Linked DNA regions of Tamandua tetradactyla. The main gene of each other region encodes a partner of the protein of the gene in region 3 in a complex. Links are inferred from orthologs where the notes say so. Each region holds a gene or a part of one and is shown on either strand. Other genes may lie near its edges.

What was found.
Region 1: the proteins of ARHGEF7 (region 3) and SHANK1 are in contact, whole or in part, in a crystal structure (PDB 3L4F), measured with the Rattus norvegicus proteins. The link is inferred for Tamandua tetradactyla from reciprocal best matches to the Homo sapiens genes ARHGEF7 and SHANK1. Residues at the interface, in XP_063131056.1 of Rattus norvegicus: Asp735, Ala737, Trp738, Asp739, Glu740, Thr741, Asn742, Leu743; in NP_113939.2 of Rattus norvegicus: Gly673, Phe674, Gly675, Phe676, Val677, Leu678, Arg679, Gly680, Ala681, Lys682, Phe696, Glu703, His735, Arg736, Val739, Ile742.
Region 2: the proteins of ARHGEF7 (region 3) and PAK1 are in contact, whole or in part, in an NMR structure (PDB 1ZSG), measured with the Homo sapiens proteins. The link is inferred for Tamandua tetradactyla from reciprocal best matches to the Homo sapiens genes ARHGEF7 and PAK1. Residues at the interface, in NP_001106983.1 of Homo sapiens: Lys192, Phe193, Phe195, Thr198, Asp201, Glu202, Glu217, Gly220, Trp221, Trp232, Pro234, Ser235, Asn236, Tyr237; in NP_001363202.1 of Homo sapiens: Thr185, Pro186, Pro188, Val189, Ile190, Ala191, Pro192, Arg193, Lys198, Arg203, Ser204.

Annotation. Positions count from the first base shown.
Region 1 is NC_135342.1:10,567,923-10,575,544, reverse strand, and holds the start of SHANK1 (SH3 and multiple ankyrin repeat domains protein 1), read right to left. Parts: upstream 3,013-7,622; coding exon 2,764-3,012; intron 2,539-2,763; coding exon 2,335-2,538; intron 1,748-2,334; coding exon 1,676-1,747; intron 734-1,675; coding exon 625-733; intron 448-624; coding exon 296-447; intron 1-295. UniProt on the Homo sapiens protein: Seems to be an adapter protein in the postsynaptic density (PSD) of excitatory synapses that interconnects receptors of the postsynaptic membrane including NMDA-type and metabotropic glutamate receptors via complexes with GKAP/PSD-95 and Homer, respectively, and the actin-based cytoskeleton.
Region 2 is NC_135334.1:67,315,456-67,323,457, forward strand, and holds the start of PAK1 (serine/threonine-protein kinase PAK 1), read left to right. Parts: upstream 1-4,939; 5' UTR 4,940-5,171; intron 5,172-8,002. UniProt on the Homo sapiens protein: Protein kinase involved in intracellular signaling pathways downstream of integrins and receptor-type kinases that plays an important role in cytoskeleton dynamics, in cell adhesion, migration, proliferation, apoptosis, mitosis, and in vesicle-mediated transport processes.
Region 3 is NC_135330.1:180,969,790-180,976,841, reverse strand, and holds the start of ARHGEF7 (rho guanine nucleotide exchange factor 7), read right to left. Parts: upstream 3,057-7,052; 5' UTR 2,817-3,056; intron 2,539-2,816; exon of another isoform or gene 2,425-2,538; 5' UTR 2,025-2,424; coding exon 1,860-2,024; intron 1-1,859. UniProt on the Homo sapiens protein: Acts as a RAC1 guanine nucleotide exchange factor (GEF) and can induce membrane ruffling. Functions in cell migration, attachment and cell spreading. Promotes targeting of RAC1 to focal adhesions. May function as a positive regulator of apoptosis.

The DNA.
Region 1 (7,622 bases), on a different chromosome or scaffold from region 3:
GAAGAGTGGCTGCTTTCCACCAAAAAGAAAGAACTTAGGTGTGAGAAAGAACAAAAGGTAAAAGGGGGAGAGAAAAACCGAGAAGGGGTGTGGTTCAAGGAAGGGAAAGGAAGGGCATCTCCCCGGGTTTCTGGGAGGGGGCGTGTGGGAGACAAAGCTAGAGGACAGGGAGGGCAGAAGGCAGGGTCTGGGGCAGCTCACCCAGTTGGTCTCTAAGGGAAACGCAGTATTTGGGGGGAGGGTCTCTGAGCCCACATCTCCGGGCTGGCAGGGTCTTGGGGTCTGGCAGCCTCACCGTGAGAGCCAGGCAGTGGCGGGCGCAGGCAGCCTTGTGCAGGGCCGTCATGCCGTCCCGGGCGCGGAAGTCGATGTGCGCCCCGCCCAGGCACAGGGTTCGAATCACCTCCACGGAGCCTTCGGTCTGGGCCGCCAGCGTCAGCGGGGTCTCTAGGGGGAGGGGTGACGGGAGGAGGGGGATGTGATTGCCTGCAGCCCCCGTGCCTCAGTGCCCACCCCTCCTGCTTTCCCAGACCCCAGGTTCTTGGCTCCGGGGTTGTGCACTCCCCAACCTCTGCACCCCCAGCCTCTCCCTCCGCCCCCCCATCCCATGGCCCCCCTACCCACCTCCCGAATCCGAGTCGTGATAGTTGGGGTCGAGGCCTTTGTCCAGAAGCCGGGCCACCTTGTCGGACGTCCCGAGCTGCACGTACTCCAGAAACTTCTTCAACCCCGTCTGAGTGACGGACAAAAGGAGAGGGTCAGGGGGCCAAAGGGAGAAGAGTAGGAGGGGCCTCGGGGAGCCCTCGCGGTAAGCCTCCTGGGCCGCTGAAGCTGCTCTAGCAGCCACCGTAAGGAAAATGTTCCATTTTACTGACATTAATTTCGATGAAACGTTATCGAACCCAACAGAGGTCAACTAGTACCATTTCCATAGGGCAATCGATATCAAAATTATTCACGAGACGTTGTACGTGTTTTTCATCCCACGTCAATAAACTCCAGTGTGAATCTGATGCTCATGATACGTCTCAGTTTGGACTTGTTCCCCTGCCTGCAAGAGCTCGCTGCCCTGGCCTGTGCAGGCCTGGAGCCCAGGGGACCCTCAGGAGAGGAAAGAGTCAGGTGTGGGGTACGGCGGGGGGCTACGGGTGAAGATCCAGGGGCCTCTTTTCCCACATATCCAGGTTCTCTCTCTTCACTTCTTATGCAAGCAGCCCCCCGCTGCCCACCTTCTCTTAGGAGAGCAGGGACCTGGTCTGCAGATAGGACAGCGAGGGGGTGGGTGGGCATGGCTGGGGGTGGGGTGGGGGGGGTGCTTGGCTTTGGCAGAGTTTTAGGTGATGGAATGGGGGAGCTGCAGGGCTCTTAAAACACTCCCCGGGCAGAGGGCAACTGGATGTCAGGGGTGCAGGGACTCTGGGAGGAGCCTGGGGGCTCAGGATGAGAAAGGGGAGTTGAAAGACAAGGGAAATGGGAGCCAGGTAGAAATAGTGTGTGGCAAAGAAGTGGTGGGCGCCAAAGAGGGGAGTCAGAAGGGGTTATGTCATGTGGGCCAGTCCCGAACAGCATGTGGCACCCCACGTCAAGGAGGGGAACCTGTCGGAGGAATAGAAGGCTGGGGATAAGGAGGGCTGTTGGAGGGGGGCTCCGAGGGGACATGCAGCGGGGGGCTCACCTTCGTGTGCAACTTGGCCAGCTGTTTCTCATCCAGGTTGGTCTGCTTGTAAACTCGGGTCTTGTATCGGAACTGAGGCCCGGGGAAGGTGGGGGGGGGGAGGAGAGACACAGAACTCAGAATCAGGGGCCTGGGGAGGAGATGGGGGGGGTAGGGTCTGTCCCTCCCCCGCCTCCATCCCCTTCTGAGCCAGGGGTCAGCCCAGGGGTGAGGTGGGACGAGGCATGGCGCCTTTGCTGGGTGGGCAGAGATGCCGGCCGGCTTTTCCCAGAGGGCTGGGCTGTGGTCGCGCAGGTAAGTGACAGCCCCTCCCTCAAAGTGGGAGCCTGGACCTTCGAGAGAATGTTCTAGAGCACCTCTATGTGCCTAATCCTTCTGTGCCTGCCCCATCTCTGTAACTGGGCCAGGAGAAGCTTCAGGGGAGAGAGAGGGGGCATATGGCTCAAGGTACTCAGCCAATTGGAGGCAGATGAGAGCTAGATTTGAATTCAGGCGTCTTCTCCTCTCCCCTGGCTCTGGGGCAACCTGAGCCCCGAAATAGCCCCCTGTTAAGAAACTTTTGGCTGGGGTTGGCTGGAGTTGGCTGGGAGGGAGGGGGGAGGGTGTGCTGGGGAGGTGGGGGGCTCCCCTTTTCTTTCTGAACCGGCTGTGGGCCTCACCTCCAGGTAGGGCACCCCTTTCTCGAAGGACTGGGGGTACTCGCGCAGCAGCCGCTCCTCTTCCAGGAAGTTGGCGTCGCGGCCGGAGGTGGCAGGCTGGAACAGGCCGTAGTTGAGCACGTCGTGCAGGCTCTCACTCAGGGCGCACAAGATCTGCTGCTTGGCTGTCCAGATGGTGGCGTCGGGGTTGAAGCGCAGACATTTCTGGGGGGGGTGGGAGTGGGGAGCATGGGGTCAGGGGCCGGGGAGGAGCCTGGGGTGAGTGCTGGGGGGGGCATTCTGAGGACAGGAGGGGCAGAGGGAGTGGGGGGGGGTTTCTGGGAATGGGGGCGTCCCAGGGGGAACACCCTGCCGCAGAGGCGCCCCCAGTGTGCTCAGGCCCCTGCCCGCCCCCTGCCCGCCCGCTGCCCGCCCCCGCTGGCCACAAACCGTCTGGTGCAGGTCGGGGATGCCAATCCTGAAGACCATCATGCTGAAGTGGGCGTCGTCCGGGACAGACATGGAGCGGCCCTGGAGGCCTCGGACCGAGGCCAGACTACCAGGCGGCCCGCTGCCCCGGGTCCCCCGGGGGCCTCGCCCGGGTCCGTCTGGGGAGCTTTCGGACTCCGAGCCCTCCTCGGGGCACTCGCTGGCACTGCGGTGGTCTTCGTCCTCGCTCGACGCGGGGCTGTGGGGCATCGTGGGGCCACGGGGCGACGGGGGACGGCAGCATTACAGGCGGCTGCGGAGGCCAAGCAGGGACGTCAGACCCGGAGCCGGGGAACCCCTGAGAGGCCACTGGAGGCCACGGGCAGCTAAGGGGCAGGGGGAGGCGGGCTGAGGCGGGCACACCACACCCCCGGCCGCTCGCGCCGCCTCCCCGCGCGCTCCCGCATGCACCCCCCCAGGCCCCGCCACGCTTCCAGCAGGTCTCCTTCCCTGTCCTTGGCCCCCCTTGCAGCCCCCCACCCCCCCTGCGCCCCACTTTGCCGCTGACCCAGCGTCGCTGTGTCCCAGAAACCGCAGAATCACCGCGGGAGCTACTGGCCCACTTTGGAAGGCCACAGAAAGGCAGCTAAAATTAGCCGAGGACAGACAGGTGGACGCGCCCACCGGCATTGCGCCCTCCTGGCCCCTGGCTGGCCCCTCACCCAAGGCCCTTCCCTCCTCCCAGAGAGCGGGTGTGGGGGGGTTGGGGGGTGACTGAGGCCGGGGTGTAGTGAGGGAGAGTGGGAGGTGCCCGGGAGCGGGTGGGACTAGACTCCACCGCGTGCGGCTGGCAGCCCAGGCAGAGCAGCGTGGCTGGGAAGCCGGCGTCCCAGGGGAGCAGGCAGCACCCAGGAATGCTGTCCCTGAGGGAGGTGGGAAAGGCGGCCAGTGTAGGCTGTTGGGGGTGCATCTTGGGATGGCACGTGGGTGGCGGGGGCCTGTCTGGGTGGAGGCCTGGGGTGGGCTCAGGATGTGCCCCATGGGTGTGTTTCAGGCACTGGTGCCTCCACTCCTAGAGGCCTTGGGGTGAGAGAAAGGGGACCAGCTGGGAGGTCACCAGGTCACCTCCAGACCCCCACTGTTCTCCCCTGAGGTGGCCCAAATGAGGCCTGCCTCCCCCATGGCCTCCCCCACTCCCACCCCAGCACCGGAAACCAGAATGTCTGGTCTGGTCCCTCCCCCCCACGCCAGGCCCGGCTCCTGCACGGTTGCCATGGAAATGGGAAGCAGTGGAGGGTACTGCTGACTTTGGGGGAGTGGGGATGGGCTGGGGGGTTGGGGGAGGGAAGGCAAAAACGTGTGTGTGTGTGTGTGTGTGTGTGTGTGTGTGTGTGTGTTGGGGGGAGGAGAGTTCCAAGAGCTGCGGGCCAAGCATCCAGCCAGGGGCCACGGGCCCCTCCCCCACGCGAGGCCGGGTCGCCGCACCCCCCTCCTGCTCCAGGTCCCCCGCGGCGCCGCCCCACCTGGCCTCTACTGGAACCCCGGCCGCCTTCTGACACCCCCTCCTGGCCCCACCCCACGTCCCACCTTAGGACCTGGGGCCTGAAGCCACTCCCCCTCCGCTGACCCTGGCTGACCTCCAGCCTCAACTGGGCACTGCTGGGGTGACCAGCGGCAAGGAAGAAAAGCCGACCGGGGTCCCCAGCACGCGCGGCTGCCCCCCCCCCGCCCCCGGCCCAGCTCGGGCCCCTCCCCCTCAGGCCCCGAGGGAGGGAGCGGGCACACTCCGCCGGGGCGGCATGAATCAAACGCTCCACGGCTAAGAATAGCTGGCACGCAGCTGGTACTGAGACTGGCTGAGGAATCGGCGGGGGGGGGGTGGTAGAAAAGGGGAGAGAGGGGGTGCCCTGCGAGGCTGCGGGGGGACGGGGTCGACCGGCGTGGCCGCGAGCGGAGCCCCGGAGAATGAATGGAGGCGGAGAGAGGCGCGGGGAGGCGGGAGAGGGAGCTGGGGTTGGGGCCAAGAAGCTGGTGGGGCAGAGCCCCGGACCCGGGAGAGGGGGCGGGGGGCACCCGGGAGCGCGACTCGGGGGCGGGAGCCGAGGGGGCGCGGCGGCCGGTGCAGAAGGAAAAAGAGACAGGGTGGGGTGGGGGGAGCTTGGGAAAGGGTTGGGAGGGGATTGGAGGAGCCTGGAAGGAGAAGCAAGGGGTCGAAGGGGGCGGAGGCGGCCAAAGCCTAGACCCCCCCACAGGGCGGTGGGAACCTGGGTGACCTGGGGGAGGGACCGCGAGCAGAAGGGCTGCCAAAGGGGGCAAGGGGCTCCGGCGGGCCAGGGTGGGCGAGGTGGGGGAGTGGCCGGGTAGGGCCGGAAGGCGGGTTCGGGCCCGGGGTTCTGCTGGCGGGGGCTGGGGGGCGTCCCCCTCCCACCAAGACTGATCTGGGACGGGACACCGGGGACCGGGGCGTAACCCAATTTGGCGTTGCCCCGGGTGACGCTCCCCTCCTCAACCCGCCCCCCTCCCAACCTGGGCCCCGAGCCCGGCGCGCGGCCAAGGACATCCGGGGCGCCCCCGCCCCCTCCCGCAGCCCCGGCCCCGCGGATCCCCCGAACCCCCGGATTCCCGGGCCCCTTACCTGCCTGGCGGGGCTGCTGAGTCCCGGTCGGCGGCGCCCGCGGCCCCTCCCCCCTCCCCCCTCCCCCCACCCCCCCGGAGACGGGGGGGGACCCTCAGGCCATGCCCCACCGCCCCGGAGGGCGAGCGGGCCCGGGGAGGGGGCGGGCGGAGGCCGGGGGGAGGGCGGGGGTGCCGAGGACCTCACCCCCGCCGCGGGCCGGGCCTGGCCATCCGCAGAGGGCCCCCCTGCCGCCGCGGCCGCCGCGCCCCTCCTTGCCCGCCCCCGGCTCGGTCCGGCCGGCCCCGGGCGCCGCGTCTCCTTCTGCTCTTCCTCCGCCGCTTCCCCGGGCCGCCGCCGCCACCCGCTCCGCGCCTCCTCTGCCTCCCTTCTCGCGCTCTCGCTCTAGCTGTCTCTCCCTCACCCTGTCTCTCTCTCTCCCTCCTTCTCTCTCTCCCCTCCCTCCGCCCTCTCCCCTCCCTCCGCCCTCTCCCCTCCCTCCGGGAGCCGGCAGAGGAGACTTCGCCCCTCCCCGCGCCCCCAAACCTCGCCCATCCCCCCCCCCCCCCCCCAGCGCCGGCTCCGCCCCCTCCCCTCGCCCTCCCCCCAGCACTCCTCGCTGCCGCCGCCGGGTCCCCAAATCCTGACTCCACCCCTGCTTGCCCCCCTGTACCCGACGAAAGGGCCCTTCGCTCCAGGGGTGCCCAAACGCGGACCCCAGGAGGCCCCCCTCCCAGAGGCTCCCCACCCCCTCTGTACACAGCAGGGCACAGTACGTATCTGTTGCTGGACGCTGCACCCCCAGATTATTGGACTGTGTGATTATAGATTCCTGGCCCCTTAAAGGCGCCCCCCACACTTCCCCCATGACAGGGGCGCACGTGGACACACCTGACCCAGCATGCTTTCCCATGAGACACAGGCGTGTGGAGGTGCGAGCTGACACCCGCAGAGTGGCCACCATGCACACACCACCCCACATATACATGCTGTCTAGGGTATGCACACCCAGACACTATGGGCCTCGGTGCACCTTGCTTCAAACACACCCAGCCAGGACAGGTAGGTATCACAGCTGAGCGCCAGAACATGCCCACGTGTGTAAGCCCCGTTCTCCAGCACACAGACACACAGCTGTGGGGAGGTATGTGCACGTGCTCCTGATGTATTTGCTCCCTGGTCACTTGTCAGTACAACACACCCACTGAGGCAACAACACTATGTCCAGTCCCCTTTTGCGATAATTATTGTGACATTTATTTAGCGCTTCCTTGGTGCCAAGCTCTGCTCAAGGTTGGTTAACTCCTCCTCTCACACCCAACCCCGCTGGATTAGGAAATTTTTTCATCCTCGTTTAACAGTGGGGAGGGGAGGGTTACCAAGGCACAGAGAGGCTAAGTAACTTGCCCAAGGTCACACAGCCCCAAAGAGGTGGTGCCAAGGACCGGGGACAGGTAGGCTGGCCTCAGAGTCTTTGCTTACCTACTAATGTGTACAGCTGGGCACACCCACATTTGCATATCCTTGTTCATCGTGCACACTCAGACGCACCCAGCCATCTCCTCACGGCTTGCACAGACATGTGCAAGCACACACACACAAAGCTAGGTGTGTGCAGACAGCCCACTCATGCCTGTGTCTACAGAGACAGGACGGGTCCCAAAGGACAGCAGGTGAGCATCCGCATGGCTCAGGCTGCCTCCTTCCCAGCCCCACCACCGCCCCTCAGGGCCACCAGCCTGCACAGGGGAGTTCCAGCAGCCTCTGGGTGCACCACCAGCTGTGGGCTCTCTGGGGTACCCCAGTATGAGCTAGAGCAGGTGCCGCTGCCCCTCAGGGGTGCCCAGACCCGGGAGGCCTCGTGCTCAATGCATACCACTGGCCCAGGTGGTAAGCAGCTGGGCTCTGGGAGACAACAGCTGCCCACACTGGTGCCAGCTGCAAGAGAGGCCACCCAGCCCTCTACAGTTTACAAGCCTTTCAGGGCTGGGAATGATTTCGTAAGGCCTCCAGGCCCTGGCGAGGGGTCCCCAGGATCTGCCCAAGGTCATACTGCCCTCGAGTACCAGGCTTTCTTGGAAAACCGAAGGCACCTCCTGGGTTTCCGGCGACCGAGGGCAGATGCGCAGCTCCTGGTTGGAGCCAGAAGGAAACCTTGGCTAGCTGCCGCCATACTGGCGACCTCCAGCAGGCCCTCTCCCAGCCTCGGTTTCCTCCTCTGGAGAGTGGGCCTGCTGCACCCTGGCTGCCGTGCTCCATGAATGTT
Region 2 (8,002 bases), on a different chromosome or scaffold from region 3:
TTCTCTACTACCTTACCTCCTATTCAGTTTATCACCTTACCTTACCCCCAGGTCCTCTAGATTGCAGAACCTGGAATTAGGATTAAAGTGCTGGTTCTTTTGGGGGGAGGTGCAAGTGAGGAGAGTAAAAGTGAGGGACAGGCAAGTCAGGCAATACAGTGTGATGTGCTACCATGCTGGGCAATGCTTCCAGTGAGCCAAGATGAAAAACAGCAGGTGACTTAGCAGATAAGTCAAATGGGAGTTCCCCTGCATGGCTATAAGGAGGAATCACACCATAGAACAGTCTGTGGAAAGGAGAAATTAGGGGAATGCACCTGCCTGGTCCTCTTCTGTCGCCCATTTCCCATTTGTCAAGGTCCATAGGAAGATAACTCCCCTGTACTTCTGTGTAACGTCTATTGTGCATCATCTGGCCTCTCAATGGCAGTTCAGGAAGCAAGATTTCACACCCTGTGTTACAGCATTTAATCCGTCTGATAGCAGAGGGACAATTCAGCGCAGACGTGTGTGTGTGTGTGTGTGTGTGTGTGTGTGTGTGTGTGCGCACACGCACAGGCCTGGGGCTTCAGTTTCGACTCCAACCAACTGAAGGTACTTGGCAGAGGCAGCAGCAGTCCTATGGGTGAGCGTGACTTTGGATAGAAAGGAGCATTCAAGGCAATCTGAAAAGAAACGCAAGGTTATGCTCGATACACAGCATAATCAGATTTCCCCCTCACTTTTCACCTTCACTGAAATTGATTTTGCAAAGGTCATCAATGGGGTCTTGACAAATCCTGAAAGTATTATCTAGTTCTTGTCTGACTGAACAACTCTGTTCCATTTGAGATTATTGACCACTTCCTCCCTGAAATTCTATCATCCTCTTGTTTTCCTGGTGAACAGAATAGGTTTTCTTCCTACCTCATTGGCTCTGTCTTCTCAGGGTTTTCTTCCTTCTCCCATGTCTTAGAATTGGATATTCTCTGTGGTTCCATTTTCAGCCTTCATTTTATAGTATCACTCTCCACGCTTAGCTGTCTGTCTCCAAGCACTGATAGTTACCGAATCAATATCTGCAGCTCAAATCTCTCTGCTCCAGACCCACATGTATAACCAACTCAGGACATCAAACCCTAAATTGAGCTCATCCTCTATTCTTAACTCCAACACTCACTAGAACTTCTTTTCTTCCTATATCCCTGTCTTGGTAAATGTCTCCTAACCAAGAACCTGGGACCTCTCTTGAATTTCTTTTTTTTTCTTTGTCTCTCAAATATAGTGAGCCACTACCTCTCATAGATATTTCCTCTTAAATATCTCATAGAGCTAGACCTTTTCTCTATTTGCACTGCCATTGTTTCATTTCAGAACTGCAATTGCCTCCTAAATGTTCTTTCTGCATTTGACCTTGCCTTTCCTCAATCAATTTTCCAAACCGAACCCGCAGTTATATATTTTAAAACACAACTCACCATGACCAAATGGGGGTTTAATCTAAGAAAATAAGAATGTTCAATGTTTTATAAAAAATCTATTTATATATAATTTATGTCATCGATGTATCAAAGGAGAAAAAGCATATGATCATCTGAACAAAATGCTTAAAACATTTTGATAAAAATCAACATACACGTTTTATTTTTAAAGAAAAACACCTTAGTTAGCATGATAATGAATACTGATCTCAAACCAAACCACTGGCTTATATTATACTTAGCAGTAAAACATTAGAAACATTCCCATTAAGACTAGTAATTTGACTGGCATTATAGTTACTTAACGTTATTCTGGAAGTATTAATCAATGCAATAATGAGAGAAAGAAACAAGGTGTAAATATTTAATAGGGAAACAAAATTATTATTTGGAGATGATATGGTTGCTTGGAAAACTATTAGCATTAATAATAGAGTTAAGAAAGTTTGGCAATTGTAACAGAGATATTTAAAAATTAATTTTCTTATATACCAACAATAATCAGTAAAGAAATATAATGGAAGAAAGACATTATCACAACAATGAAAATAATCAAAACACCCAGCTATAAATTTAATGATAAACATGTGATTCTACAAAACTCTAAAGGGAGATTTGAATAAGGGTAGAAATGTATTACATGAATGTATTGGAAGATTTAATGTTGTAAGGGTATTAACTTTCCTCAAACCAAGTCTATAAATATAAAATTCCAATAAAACGTCTGGGGTTTTTTTCTTTCAGAATGCAAAAGATGCTATTTTAAAGTTTATTTAGAAAAATAAACAAATGAGAAAAATCATGTGCATTAATAGAAAGAACAGAACTAAAAATTCCTTTCTCTACCAGATATTAAAATGAACCCACAGGGGTGCGGGTGGTTCAGTGGTAGTTCAGTGGTAGACTGCTCACCTCCCATGAGGGAGACCTGGGTTCAACTCCCGGACCATGCACCAAAAAAAAAAAAAAAAAAAAAAAAAAAAGAGAAAACCTGCAGGATACAATAATTAAAACATTATGGCTTTCACAGGAGGCTACACTCCCGCTACACGCAGCCCCGTCTCTAGAGATCCTGGAGAAATTCCAGCACATTTTGCGTGTGCTCAGCACCCACATCTGCAGCGCGGAAAGACAGCCCTTGCCAGCACTGCCGTTAAGTAAGGGTGTGGGGCGAAGGTAAGCTCCTGCGGTGCTGAGGGAGGCAGGCATCGACCTCACCAAGAGGGCAGGAGAGCTCACCGAGGATGAGGTGGAAAGTGTGATCACCTTTATGCAGAATCCGCTTCTGCACGAGATCCTAGGCTGACAGAAGGACATCAAAGGTGGAAAACACAGCCAGGTCCTGGCCAACAGTCTGGCCAACAAGCTCCGTGAAGATCTAGAGCGACTGAAGAAGATTCGAGTCCGCGGAGGGCTGTGCCACTTCTGGGGCCTTCATGCCCAAGGCCAGCAACGGAGAACACTGGTCACCGTGGTTGTGCCGTGGGTGTGTCCAAGGAGAGATGAGTCTATAGGCCTTGCCTATTAATGAATTGTTTATACACCTGAAACAAAAACATTATGGTGCTAGCTCAAAAACAGAGAATTCAGAAAAATATCCAAGTATTTGTTAGAATTTAGTATATAAGGAAGCTTGTGATTCATCGCAGTGGGTAGAATGTTGGGCCATTACCTACCATCAAAACAAAGTTAAAGGGGGTGCCAGGGTAATTCAGTGGTAGAATTCTTGCCTGCCATGCGGGAGACCTGGGTTTGAGTCCCCGTCCATGCCTTTCCCCCAAACAAAAACAAACAAGCAAATAAACAATTGAAAACAAACAAACAAAAAATTCAACAAATGGTGCTGCAATAATGGGGTACTCACATGGAAAAATATTGAAATGTAACCCTAAGATAAATTGCAGGAAAAGATTAAAAATTTTAATGTAAGTAAATGAAAATTTTTGATATGAGTAGAAGAAAACATAGCTGAACATTTATAAAACCTTGGAATAAAGAAGGACTTCATAAACATGAAATTAAAGGATGAAGGCATAAAGGATGCTAGAGTTGGTTACATAAAAAAGTAAAACTTTTTGTAGCAAAAATTACCACACATTGAAAGACAAATGACATTCTAGGGAAGCATCCTGAACCAAAGGTCCATATCCATAGCTTTCAAAGACCTTTTTCAAATCAGTAAGAAAAACACAAATATCTAAAATGAAAAATGCACAATTGACAAGAAAAGGCATTTTACATAAGAAAAAAACCCAAGTGCTCAATACATATGAAAAAAGTTGAACTTCACTATTGGTCAAAGAAATGCAAATTAAAGGCACAAAAAAATAAGGACAAATATGTGCACTATTAGAAAGTGTTTGGAGATTGAGACACTTAAAAGCCTTTCTGGATGTATAAACTGATGCAGCCCTTCTAGAGGGTACGAAAACCGACTCCACTACTAGAAAATGTATACCGTGGAAATAAACACATACACACCTCTTGTGGCACTGTTTGTAACAATAAAAAATTGGAAACAACTTAAGTGTCCAAAAATAAAGTATGTAGCCATTTCAAAAGATGTAGCAGAATATTATTTAGGAACAAACATATTTAAGGAAGGATATTTAAAATACCAAAGCTGTAAAGTAAATGCAGCCAGTAGGATAAAAAACATTTATATGACAATATGACATGAGAGAATAAATTTCTGTTGTTTTAAGCCACCCAGTTTGTGGTTATTTGTTACAGCAGCTCTAGGAAACTAATATGGGGAGAAACTTTTGATTTAGTAGAATAACTTAGAATCTCTTTGTGGGTTGGAGTAAACGAGGGGAATGCTGAATTACTTTGTACAAAAGAGAGTGAGAATTGGGGATGGAAGCTTTGGGGTTTATAGCTAGAGAAGTCTGATTTTGGAGAATGAAAAAGAGAGGGAGGAAGGGAGCAAGAGAACCTGGGCAGCTGGTGTCACCGTGGAGGGACAGTCAATGAGAATTTTCCAATGATGGGAATGACTGATAGACTCTTAAAAGAACTGATGTCTATTCCTTAGTTTCAAGCTGTTCTTTGGGCTGTGCTACAATATAAGCCATCCTCTCTTGCCCCAAAACCTTTCTAAAGATAAACACATAGCCTTGTTTAGGAAATATATGGGGGAGAGAAAAGGTTGAGGAAATATCTAACAGGGTTGTATGGTATAGAAAAAAGGGTTGAGGTGCCCCACGAAGTGAAATTCAGGGTGGAGATCAAGGTGGAAACTCAAAGCTAAAGGGGATCAAAAGAAACATTACCCCATTGCCCCTGTGCAGTTTGAAGCTATTATGTACCCCAGAAAAGCCATGTCCTTTAATTCTCACTCAATAGTACTGGGTGGGATCTTTTTTATTGTTTCCATGGAGGTGTGACCCACCCAATTGTGAGCAGTAACTTTTTCTTAGATGGTTTCCATGGAGATGTGTCTCCACCCATTCTAGGTAGGGTTGCTTACTGGAGCCCTTTAAGAGGGAACCATTTTGGAAAAAGCTTTAGAACCAACAAAAGCCACCAGGACCAACATCTAAGACCCAACAGCCAGAGACCTCTGGAGATGCCAAAGGAAAATGCCCCACCCCACCCCCCACCAGGGGTGCTTATGAAACAAGAAGCCAGGAGATAAAGCTAGCAGATGTTGCCATATGCCTTTCCTGCTGAGAGAAAACCCAAACCTTATCAGCCTTCTCGACAAAGGTATATTTCCCTGGATGCCTTAGTTTGGACATTATTATAGCCTTGACTTAATTTGGACATTTTCAAAATCCATAGAACTGTAAACTTGCAATTTAGTAAATTCCCCTTATTAGAAGCTGTGCCATTTCTGGTGTATTGCACTCTAGCAGCACTTATAAACTAAAACACCCCCCCCCCCCCAAAAAAAAAGAGAATCCACAGAGATAGTGGTAGGGATCTGGGTTTCCTGTCATGCTTGGGAGAGTGGTTTGAATAGGATTTTTTCTATCTCAAAGGTCATGGAGATTCTAGAAGGTTGGATGCCCCTGTAAAATAGATGAGGGGAAGGGGATGAGGAAATTCAGAGAAAACTGGTTAGAAGGATACACAGCATACAAACTTACTTATGATGCTAAGTTTATAAGCAATTGCTATTTTCTTCATCTAAATTTTGATTATTTTATAATGAATCCATATTACTTGTATGATTTTTAAAAAATAAGAATGTACCAAGGAAGAAATATAAAACATAATCAGGCTCTGTCACTTCTTGCTTAAAACCTGTCGGGACATCCTAACTCTTTCAGCAGGGCAGACCAGGCTCTCAGCCCTGCTGCCTCCTCCAGCACAGCCACTCTGCCCTCTAAACCTTACTCTCCAGCCATGTAAAACCACGTGCAGTTCTCCGAAAGGGCCTATTCTTTCCTGCCTTCCTGCCTTTATATGGGTTTTCTCTTTTCTTGGGATGCCCTCTGAAAGGTTTAGGAGGCAAAAGGGTGAAAAAGAAGAAAAGTAGACCAGGAAATTTAAAGTGAGCGAGTTTATTTCTGCGCTCCCAGGCAGAGCTCACCGCATCCAAGATGGAGAGAGGTGAGTCCGCACATGGGCTTCAGTGCGGGCAGCTTTTAAGGATGGGGGTCAGATGACGTCCGGAAGGGGCAGTTCATTAGTTCCAGAAGTCAGGTTGGGAAGGGTGACACAGCCTCTGCAGCTCCAGCTGCAGTGCCTTTCCCCATTCCTCTGACCTAACATTCCAGCCTTTTTGTGATAATAGGGCGCCGAGATCTTTCTGGCTACTTCCTGCTGTAATGGGGTGGCGTGGGGTTATAGGCCGGAACCGTCATGGCCAGGGGAGTGGGGAGGCTGGCTGTAGGAATCTGGTGAGGAAGGCAGGTGATGATAATGATGCAGGAGCATTTGGTTGATTGCTACCCAGGATAGTTCCTTCATGCATCCCTGAAGGAAGTTGAGGAGGCAGGGAGCTAGGAGGAAAAAGAGACAGATTAGGATAACTGGTCCTAGTAGTGGGAGGAGCCATGTCACCAGAGGAGAAGAAAATCAGCTAAAGGCAGAGTTGGTTCCTTGTTTTCTGTGATAGAGATCGTCTCTTAGTTTGTTTAGGGTTTGAATATTTTGTTCCACCAGACCCGACTCATTGATGTAATAGCAGCATTCCTCTTGTAGGAATATACACGTTCCTCCTTTTTCGGCTGTCAGCAGGTCTAAGGCCCGTCGATTTTGAAGAGTTACCTGGGCTAGTGAGGTGAGTTGGCATTGTAGAGAGGAGAGGGATTCTGACGTTGATTCCAGGGCTACCTGTAGTCAAGTTTCAAAGTTTTGAGAGGTTAAAATATTGTGTCCCAATGCCCCTCCCGCTGTGGTTGAGGCTGCGACTGAAGCGGTTAGGCTGATGCCTACTAGGATAGGAAGAAAGGCAGCCCTTTTTGAGCGAGGAGAGGGCAGTAGCCAGGTTAGTTCGGACTCCCCATAGAGGGTCAATTGAGGAACAATAGTTACCAGGAAGCATGGCCCTGGGGCAGTGGAGTGAAGGCACTTGGTAAGAGTTCCATTACCCCAGAAATATTGTCCTTTGGGGGCATGGGTGGTGTTATGGATAGTGACGTTAGTCTGGCACTTGCTATGATGTTTTGTTTGATCTATGGTTATATGTGTGAGGTAGCAGGTTTTCAGGAGGTAGGGAAGGTTATCAGGCTCTGGTTCCCATAGGGGGATATTTTTTAGAGTGGTATGGCAGGAATCAGGGCTATGATTGTGTATTTGAGTGAGATTTATAGGGACGGCTCCCAATAGTGGCCTATTTAATGATGCACAGAGGAAACAGCAGGATACCTTAGGGAGTATTTGCATTTGGTTGAGGAATTGCAAGGTTTGTTGGAGGATTTGGGGCCATGTATGAGGGGTTGTGGAGGCAGAGCTTTGGGCAAGGTGGCTGGAGAGGCTTTGCTCAGCCTGCAAAATGCCCGTGGATACCCGGGTAAAAGTAGTATTAATGAGGACATATTTGTGGTGTATTTCAATGGTGCTTACAGGGTATCGGGACCAGCCACTGTAGTATAGCTTGCCTTGGATTCCTGCTACCCATCTTGTGTCCCAGGGATCTGCAATATTTATGTAAAATTGCTGGGAGCTAATGTAGAAGGTACCTTTATGAGCTGCCTCCACATAAGCATCATGTATTCTGCATGACCAATGGGGGCATCCCCCATATATATTGTCATAGTTGTTTTGGTTACAGCTTTCAGTTTGGGCATATGGAAAGCAGGCATATGGCCTCAGGCCCTTTTCAACTGATTTAGGATTTATGGGGATGGTTATAGGCTGACTACAACCTGTTAGAGGGCAGTCTCCTGTGCCAATCATATGAGTGGTCAATCTATCATTTTGGCTAAAGGTTTCCCTGATTTTGAACTTCCATACATAGGATGCGCCCTCAATGGGGGTTAGGAGAATGAGTAGCATGAGTGAGGTGGACCCGAGTGGGCCCCAGGGGGTGACAAGTGTAGCGGTCCTCCTCTTGTTTGTATAGTTTGACCCGTGATAAGTGATGCCAA
Region 3 (7,052 bases):
ATTTTCAAAAAGCTTTTCAACTCTGACTTTTATTACCAGAAATACTGATATTCAGATGACAACAAAGTATTTTGAGAGCCCTGAAAATTAGATCCTGCTTGTTGCATGCAGAGACCGGGGTTCGATTCCCGGTGCCTGCCCATGCGAAAAAAAAAAAAAATCATAGATCCTGCTTGTAATTCTCATTTTAAATCATAATTTTATCGTGACATCAGATTCATCTAGAAGCAACATTTTTATTTCATGGACAAGCAGGCAGGTATTAACTCTAAAGTGCACATTCTGTGTTCACAAATATGTTACCCGTAAGAAAAGCATCTAAAATTATTATGCTAAATAAAATTTTTCTGGCCTTCAAAATGTAATCCCAGAACATATGCAAATTTATGAATGAGGATAAACGTTTTACTTTTTCAAGTCATTTTATTAACTTTTTTATTATTAAAAATCGTCTTTGGAAAAAAAATTGTCTTGGTTTGTAGGGGCTAAAAACTCCACAAAAAATGAAATTGTTCCTCCAAATTATAGTGCGCTCCAACTTCCATACTTAATATTTTAAAAATAATCTCTAAAAAGATTCATCTTAAATTATACCCTGGCAAAAAAAATTTTGGAATAAAATTGTAGTATTTTTTAAATAGCAGGATATATAGTTTTTAAAAGATTTCATATCCCCTCACCCATGCTTTGTCAGCTTGTAGAGATGAAAACAAACTTTAATCACTCACAGAAATACAGGTCAAGGTTCACACTTTATCCCTAGGGAAACCACTAGACAGGAGTAGGGAGAAGCAATACTCCAGGACTCTGGATCTGTTCAGAATCAGGTAGAAATCTGAAAATAAAATCTTGTATTTTGAACAAATTCTGAAGAATGCCAGGGCTTTTTAACTTAAGTGATTGCAATCCACATGGATTGGAATACATGAGGAATTCTTTCTTTGGGAAAGTAGTAAATCATTTCACAGCTCAGCTCTCAGCTATTGACGAATGTACCTTCAAAAAATGCATAGGAATTGGTCAATTAAACAGAAAAATGATGAAACTACTGCAATATCCCCACCAACGAAAAATTATCCAAACAAAGCCATCGGAGAAAACTGTGCATGGTGTTGGAACGAGCTTTTCTGATTAGGTCACTGTAAGGGATCTGAGCAGACAGACCTCACGACACCCGAGGAGCAACTTAATATTAGAACGGAACAGAAAATCCGATTTCTTCTTGTGTAGAGAACTGTTCTAACCTTCGAAATCGGACCGGGAGAAGACACTGGGGCTGCGCCCGCCTGCGGGATCCGTCCCCTTTGCAGCGGCCCCAGGCTCCCGCCCACCCCCCGCGCGCGGCCACGGAGCCCCCCGCCCGGCTCGGGCCCGCCACTCCACACTCTGCACACAATGGCGCCCTCCGAGCTCCCGCTACTCGGGTCCTCACGGTCGGTCGGGCGGGGAGCGCCGTGCGCGGCGGAGATGCGTCCGCGCTTTCCCGGCGCGAACCGGACTTCCAGGGGGGATCCGCGCACAAAGGAAAGTGCGTAGGCTTCCTGCCTGCGCGTCACCTTTTCCTCTGGGCAGAGGTGGGCGGCTGGTACTGCCGCGCGGGTCAACCAGGTGCCAAGGCGCAAGGCGGTTCCCGCGTCCCGGCACTCGTCTGCCCATCTCGGGCCTCAGCGGCCGGGGCCCAGGGGTCCTGAGCTTTGTGCCCGGGACCACGCAGGCAGGAGGCGGGCGCGTGGGCGTCGGAGCGCAGGGGTCAAGCCTAGGGGTGGGGTGCCGCCTGGCGCCCCGGGGTCGGCGACTGCGGCCAGGCGGGGGCGCGGTGGGGGGGCCGGGGGCCGCGCGCGGGCTGAAATAGCACTTACTTTCTCTATGGTCCCAGGGAGCAGGCGGTCCAGCAGCCTGCAGAGGACCACCCCATCTTTGAGAGACGACTGCAAAAAGCCCTCTGGGTCCGAGATGGTTTTTTTGGGCGACTCCAGCACCCCCAAGGTAATGAGCCACGTAACGGTCTGTTCAGCGGAATTCATAGCTGCCCGAAGAGGAGGAGAAATCCGCAGGGGGAAGGAAGGGGGGGGATACCGCACACGGAGCAACCTTTCCCTCCTCGCTCGCTCTCCGTTGCTTTTTCTGATCCCCCTTTTTTGCTCGTGGTTTCACATTGGAGCAGCCGAGGCTGGAGCTTCTGATCCCACCTCCTCCTCCTCCTCCTCCTCCTTCCCCATGTAGATGCAGATGATGACGATTGGCTTTGCGAAATCCAGTAGGTCCAGTTTCGCTCCCTCTCCCTGGCGTGCGTTTTGGCAGACTGTCAAGTGCCTTTTCATTATATGCACATGAACCTGCAGCGGCGGCGGCGGCGGCGGCAGCCGGGGCGCCTCCGCCTCCTCCTCCTCCTGCTCGCTCAGCTGCTGTAGCCCAATGACATCACTGAAATAAGAAGAAAAGAAGATGCCGTTTGCAAGCGGCTCTACATCCTGTCATCGCCTCGGCGTGTTCCAGCCGCCACCGCTGCGCACGACAGATGGGTTCGCCTTGTTCTAGGTACGGGCCGGGGCCGCGCGGACAAATGGACACGCTGCGTGCGGTTTTGCGCAGGCTTTGAGCATGATATAAATGTAACCCACACCAGAATTTCACGAATGACACAAGGAATAAACCGTTAATGTAAAGCCTTGGAGCATATGGTTTTGCACATGTGGATCCACTTACAGGTGCATTTATGTGAGAATTTAGATACAGTCATCCATCTAGACACCCTTCAATGACCATTCTCACCATTATTCTCCTATGCATGTGTGTGCGCGCGCGCACGTCCTTACCTGGACAGCTGTTAAGTAAGCGACAGCCCCGAGAAGTCCTTTTGACCTCTAGAAGACCGGATTCAGTCTCACTCGCGGAGGTGGTTTTACCAACGAAGGCTCGCGCGGCCTCCCTTCCCCCACGCGGCCATGTGCGGTTTCCCTCTACACAATATGTTAACCATTTGCGCTTCTGCTCCGGGTCTATTAAGCAGACACCATCTGGTTGGAAGAGCCTCACTTGACTTTTTTCGCTCTTCTGTCCCTTCCTCCGCCCCACTCCCTTCCTTAGAGGACTCATAAAGTTTTATTTATTTATTTTTAAACATGAATGTTTCAATTATTAAATATTTCCCAGAATTCTCTTTTTATTTTTGCCAGTTTGATTTCAAGGGCGGGGGAGAGGGGGTGTCCTGAAAAAGAGACATTCGTCTCTCTTCGCCACCGCCACCTTCCAATACAATAATTACGGGAACATAAATTATAATTAAGTATGTAACCAGATGGGTCTAATTCAGGAAGGGATTGATTTTCCTAACGCTGCTGCTAGTCCTTTTAAACGTGAACAGCAATTTAACGCTATGCTGCTTGGTTTCGTGTGCCCCCTAGTGGAAGGTTGGTTAAGACGGCTGGTGACCTCACCAAATTCTGGAAGGAGGGTGGCTAAATATACGTACGTACGGGCCATTTGGGGAGAGAATGTTCGTAGTCCAGAAACCTTGGAATCACTCCACTTTAAATTAATGGTGACGTTACAAACACTGTTAGAGGAAAGTCAAGAAAATAACACCTAAAACGGATCTACGTAGATTATTACGAAGGAAAATGTAAACAGCTCAAATTAGGCACTTAGTTGGATTATATATGAGTAAAAAGAGCCTCAATTAGACACAGGTCTATGGACACGTACAGGTCTAACTTAAGGAATTCGGACCTCAAACCGTAGTGTAATAAACGAGTTTTTTCAAACAACTCATATTTATATCCTGAAGAAGAAATAGAGCTTCTTTTAAAAACAGGACAGTATGTAAGGAGATTTCATTGCTACATTTACTTTCATTTATTTCATCTGCATGAGTTGTCAGTGCTTTCCCTCTTTCTTTGCCTTTACTTCCACGATAGTTTAAAATGATATTATCAATCGCTTATAGAAAGGGTACTGTGTTTCAGGCACACATATTAATACATTTAGCGAGAAGAGCTAGAAATTATATAAAGTTTTATTATTTTAGAAAGTAAAGAGGCTTAACTCTTCCTCCTCTTTTTCTGCTTTCATCGAGAGTGTTTCTGTGCAATCATTAATTGCATATATTCCAGCTTTCTTAACCAGTTTGCTTTCCAAATAGAAACATAAGATAATTCAATAACATTATCAATTCTGGGTTATGAAGGTAACTAATATTTGGTGATAATAGCTACCATTTGCTCACTAAATGCCAAGTACTGTGTCAACTGCTCTAATTGTATTATGTCACGAAATCATTAACACAACCTTATGAAATTACTCTCATTATCCCCATTTTACAGAAGAGGAAATGCAGCCTACAGAAATGAAATCATTGTCCGAGGTCACACATGCAGTAAGAGGTAGAGATGGATTCAAATCCAAGCTATCTGGCTCCAGAACTGATGGACCTAACCTGTTTTCTATATTGCTTTCCTTTAGGCTTTCAGAAGACCATTAGAGAAGCTAACAGCTATATGGTGGTTAATTTTATATGTAACTTGATTAGGTTATGGTGTCCAACTGTTTGATCAAACACTGGCTTAGATGTTGCCATGAAGTATTTTGTAGATGGTGCTAGCTGACGTTAAGTAAAGGAGATTATCCTGGGTAATGTGGGTGAGCCTCATCCAATCATTTGGAAGCATTAAAAGTAAACTGAGGGTTCCAAAGTAAAGAGGAAATTCTGCTTCAAGACTACACCCTCAACTTCTCTGAGTTTCCTGCCTGCCAGCCTCCCCTACAAATTTCAGACCCAACATCAAATCTTGCAGAATTTCCAGTCTGTCAGCTTCGCCTAAGAAATTTGAACTCAAGACTTCAGTTATTACTCTTACTGTAATTTCTCCATCCTGCAGAATTCAGACTTGCCATTCCCCACAATTGCATAAGCCAATTCCTTAAAATAAATTTCTGTATATATGTATACACAGAAAACACACACATACACACATATATCCTGTTGGCTCTGATTCTCTGAAAAACCCTGACTAATATAAACTATATCAAGTTTTATGCCCCAAGAGTCTTTATCAATAGAAGGATATGAATGCAAGGGTAATTTTTCACTGAGATTCCTATGTACTCTCATTACTGTTGAATTGGAAAAATAATTTAGAATGTCTTCATTACAATTATTCTATTAAATTAGGTCTGGCATTTATAAATCTGATAAAAAAGTAAGATTCAAATTAACTCAGTAAAATAGTTCTACAAAAAGCAAGCTCTAGGAAGAAGCCTTAGGAGACCAGTGAAGCTGGTAGCTAATTATATTGTTTTTTGTTTTTTGTTTTTTGTTTTGTAGAAGGTCCCGAAATTTTAAACATTTTTATTTACCAAGGGCATTCTTTTCCCTTGGATGTATATTAATTTCAAAAAGAGCTTATTTGGAAGGGATGCAAGTTTGAAACTGTTGCATGTTCCAGAAAAGCCATATTCTTTCATCCTTATTCAATATTGCTGGATGGGATCTTTTTTATTATTTCCATGGAGATGTGACCCACCCCATTGTGGGTGGTACCTTTTGATTAGATGGTTTCCATGGAGATGCGTCTCTACTCGTTCAAGGTAGAGTTGCTTACTGGAGCCCTTTAAAAGGGAACAATTTTGAAAAAAGCTTCAGTGCCAACAGAGCCCAAGAGCCCACACAGCCAGAGACCTTTGGAGATGAAAGAAAATGCCCCCGGGGAAGCCATTGAAGAGCCCAGGAAAGAAGGTTAGTAGACATAGCCCTGAGCCTTCCCAGCTGACAGAGGTGTCCAGAAGCCAAAGACCCCAGCAGATGCCAGCCAGCCACATGCCTTCCCAGCTAACAGAGGTGTTCCGAATGGCATCAGCCTTTCTTGAGAGAAGGTAACCTCTTGTTGGTGCCTTAATTTGAACATTTTCATGCCTTAGAACTGTAAACTTGCAAATTAATAAATTCCTCTTTTTAGAAGTCATAATGTTTCTGGTATGTTGCATCCCGGCAGCTTAACAAACTAAACATTCCAGAAAGTAACACTGTTCAAAGCTAAATGTTTTTAGGTGCTTAATTCAAGTATTTTAGTATCCAAGGTATGCATTTGGTTAAGCTTGCCTTAAAAGTTTTCCAGGTTACAATTATAGAGGACATATTCTATGGAATTGAAACTCTATAGCCCATCACTCATTGATCCACTGGGTGAGGACCAATAAAAATTATTTTCTAAGGAAAATTTTGGCCCTGAGTTGTAGATATTCCTTGGGCTCACTGTCAAAAGAACATGGAATGGCTTTTGGTGCAGGCATATGCTCTTTAGTTCTTGCAGCTCTCATGAGAGGATTTCAGCTTTATTCCTAACTGGGCTGCTTATTCATGCCTGACAGCCACATTCCAGATATTTGTTAGGAATACACCTAAAAACTTAGATGCAAACCAATAATTATCAAAAGCTCAGCTGAAAGGCACTGTGCTTGACTGTGAAGATAGTCTTATAAATATGTTAAGTTCTACCCCAACCTTAAGCTGGACAAGGAGATATCTATCCTTGAGTGTGTAGTAATGACTCCCTGCAGAATGGATTTTACTGAATTGAACCATCAACTAAATTGATAAAAGCAGTTCTATGAAAACTCATATCTACTGTAAGTATGTATCAGAAAAGCATTCATTTTATAAAAGTGTCCTATTTATTTGGAATAAATATGGCCAAATAGTAAATATTAAAGATGTAAGGAAAGAAAAAAGTTTATAGATACATATATATGATTGAAAAAATTACTCAGGATCAGAAAACAGTTTACCAATATCATCTATTGTGAAGCATAAAGTTAACAAGTTGCTTATCTAAGTTTGGGTTCCCCCAAAAGCAGATCCTGTGGCAATGATTTAGATGGAACTAGTTCATTTGGGAAGTGATTCCAGAAAGCACAAGTAAAGGAGGTTATAAAGTGAAGCAGGAGGGAGAAAATGAATAAAAAGTGTGTAAATGAGCAATTGGTGCTCAGTTCCCCTGGGAAGCCTCTGACTAGAGGACAGGGAGGCTAAGGCTTAGTCCACTGACTCCCATCTC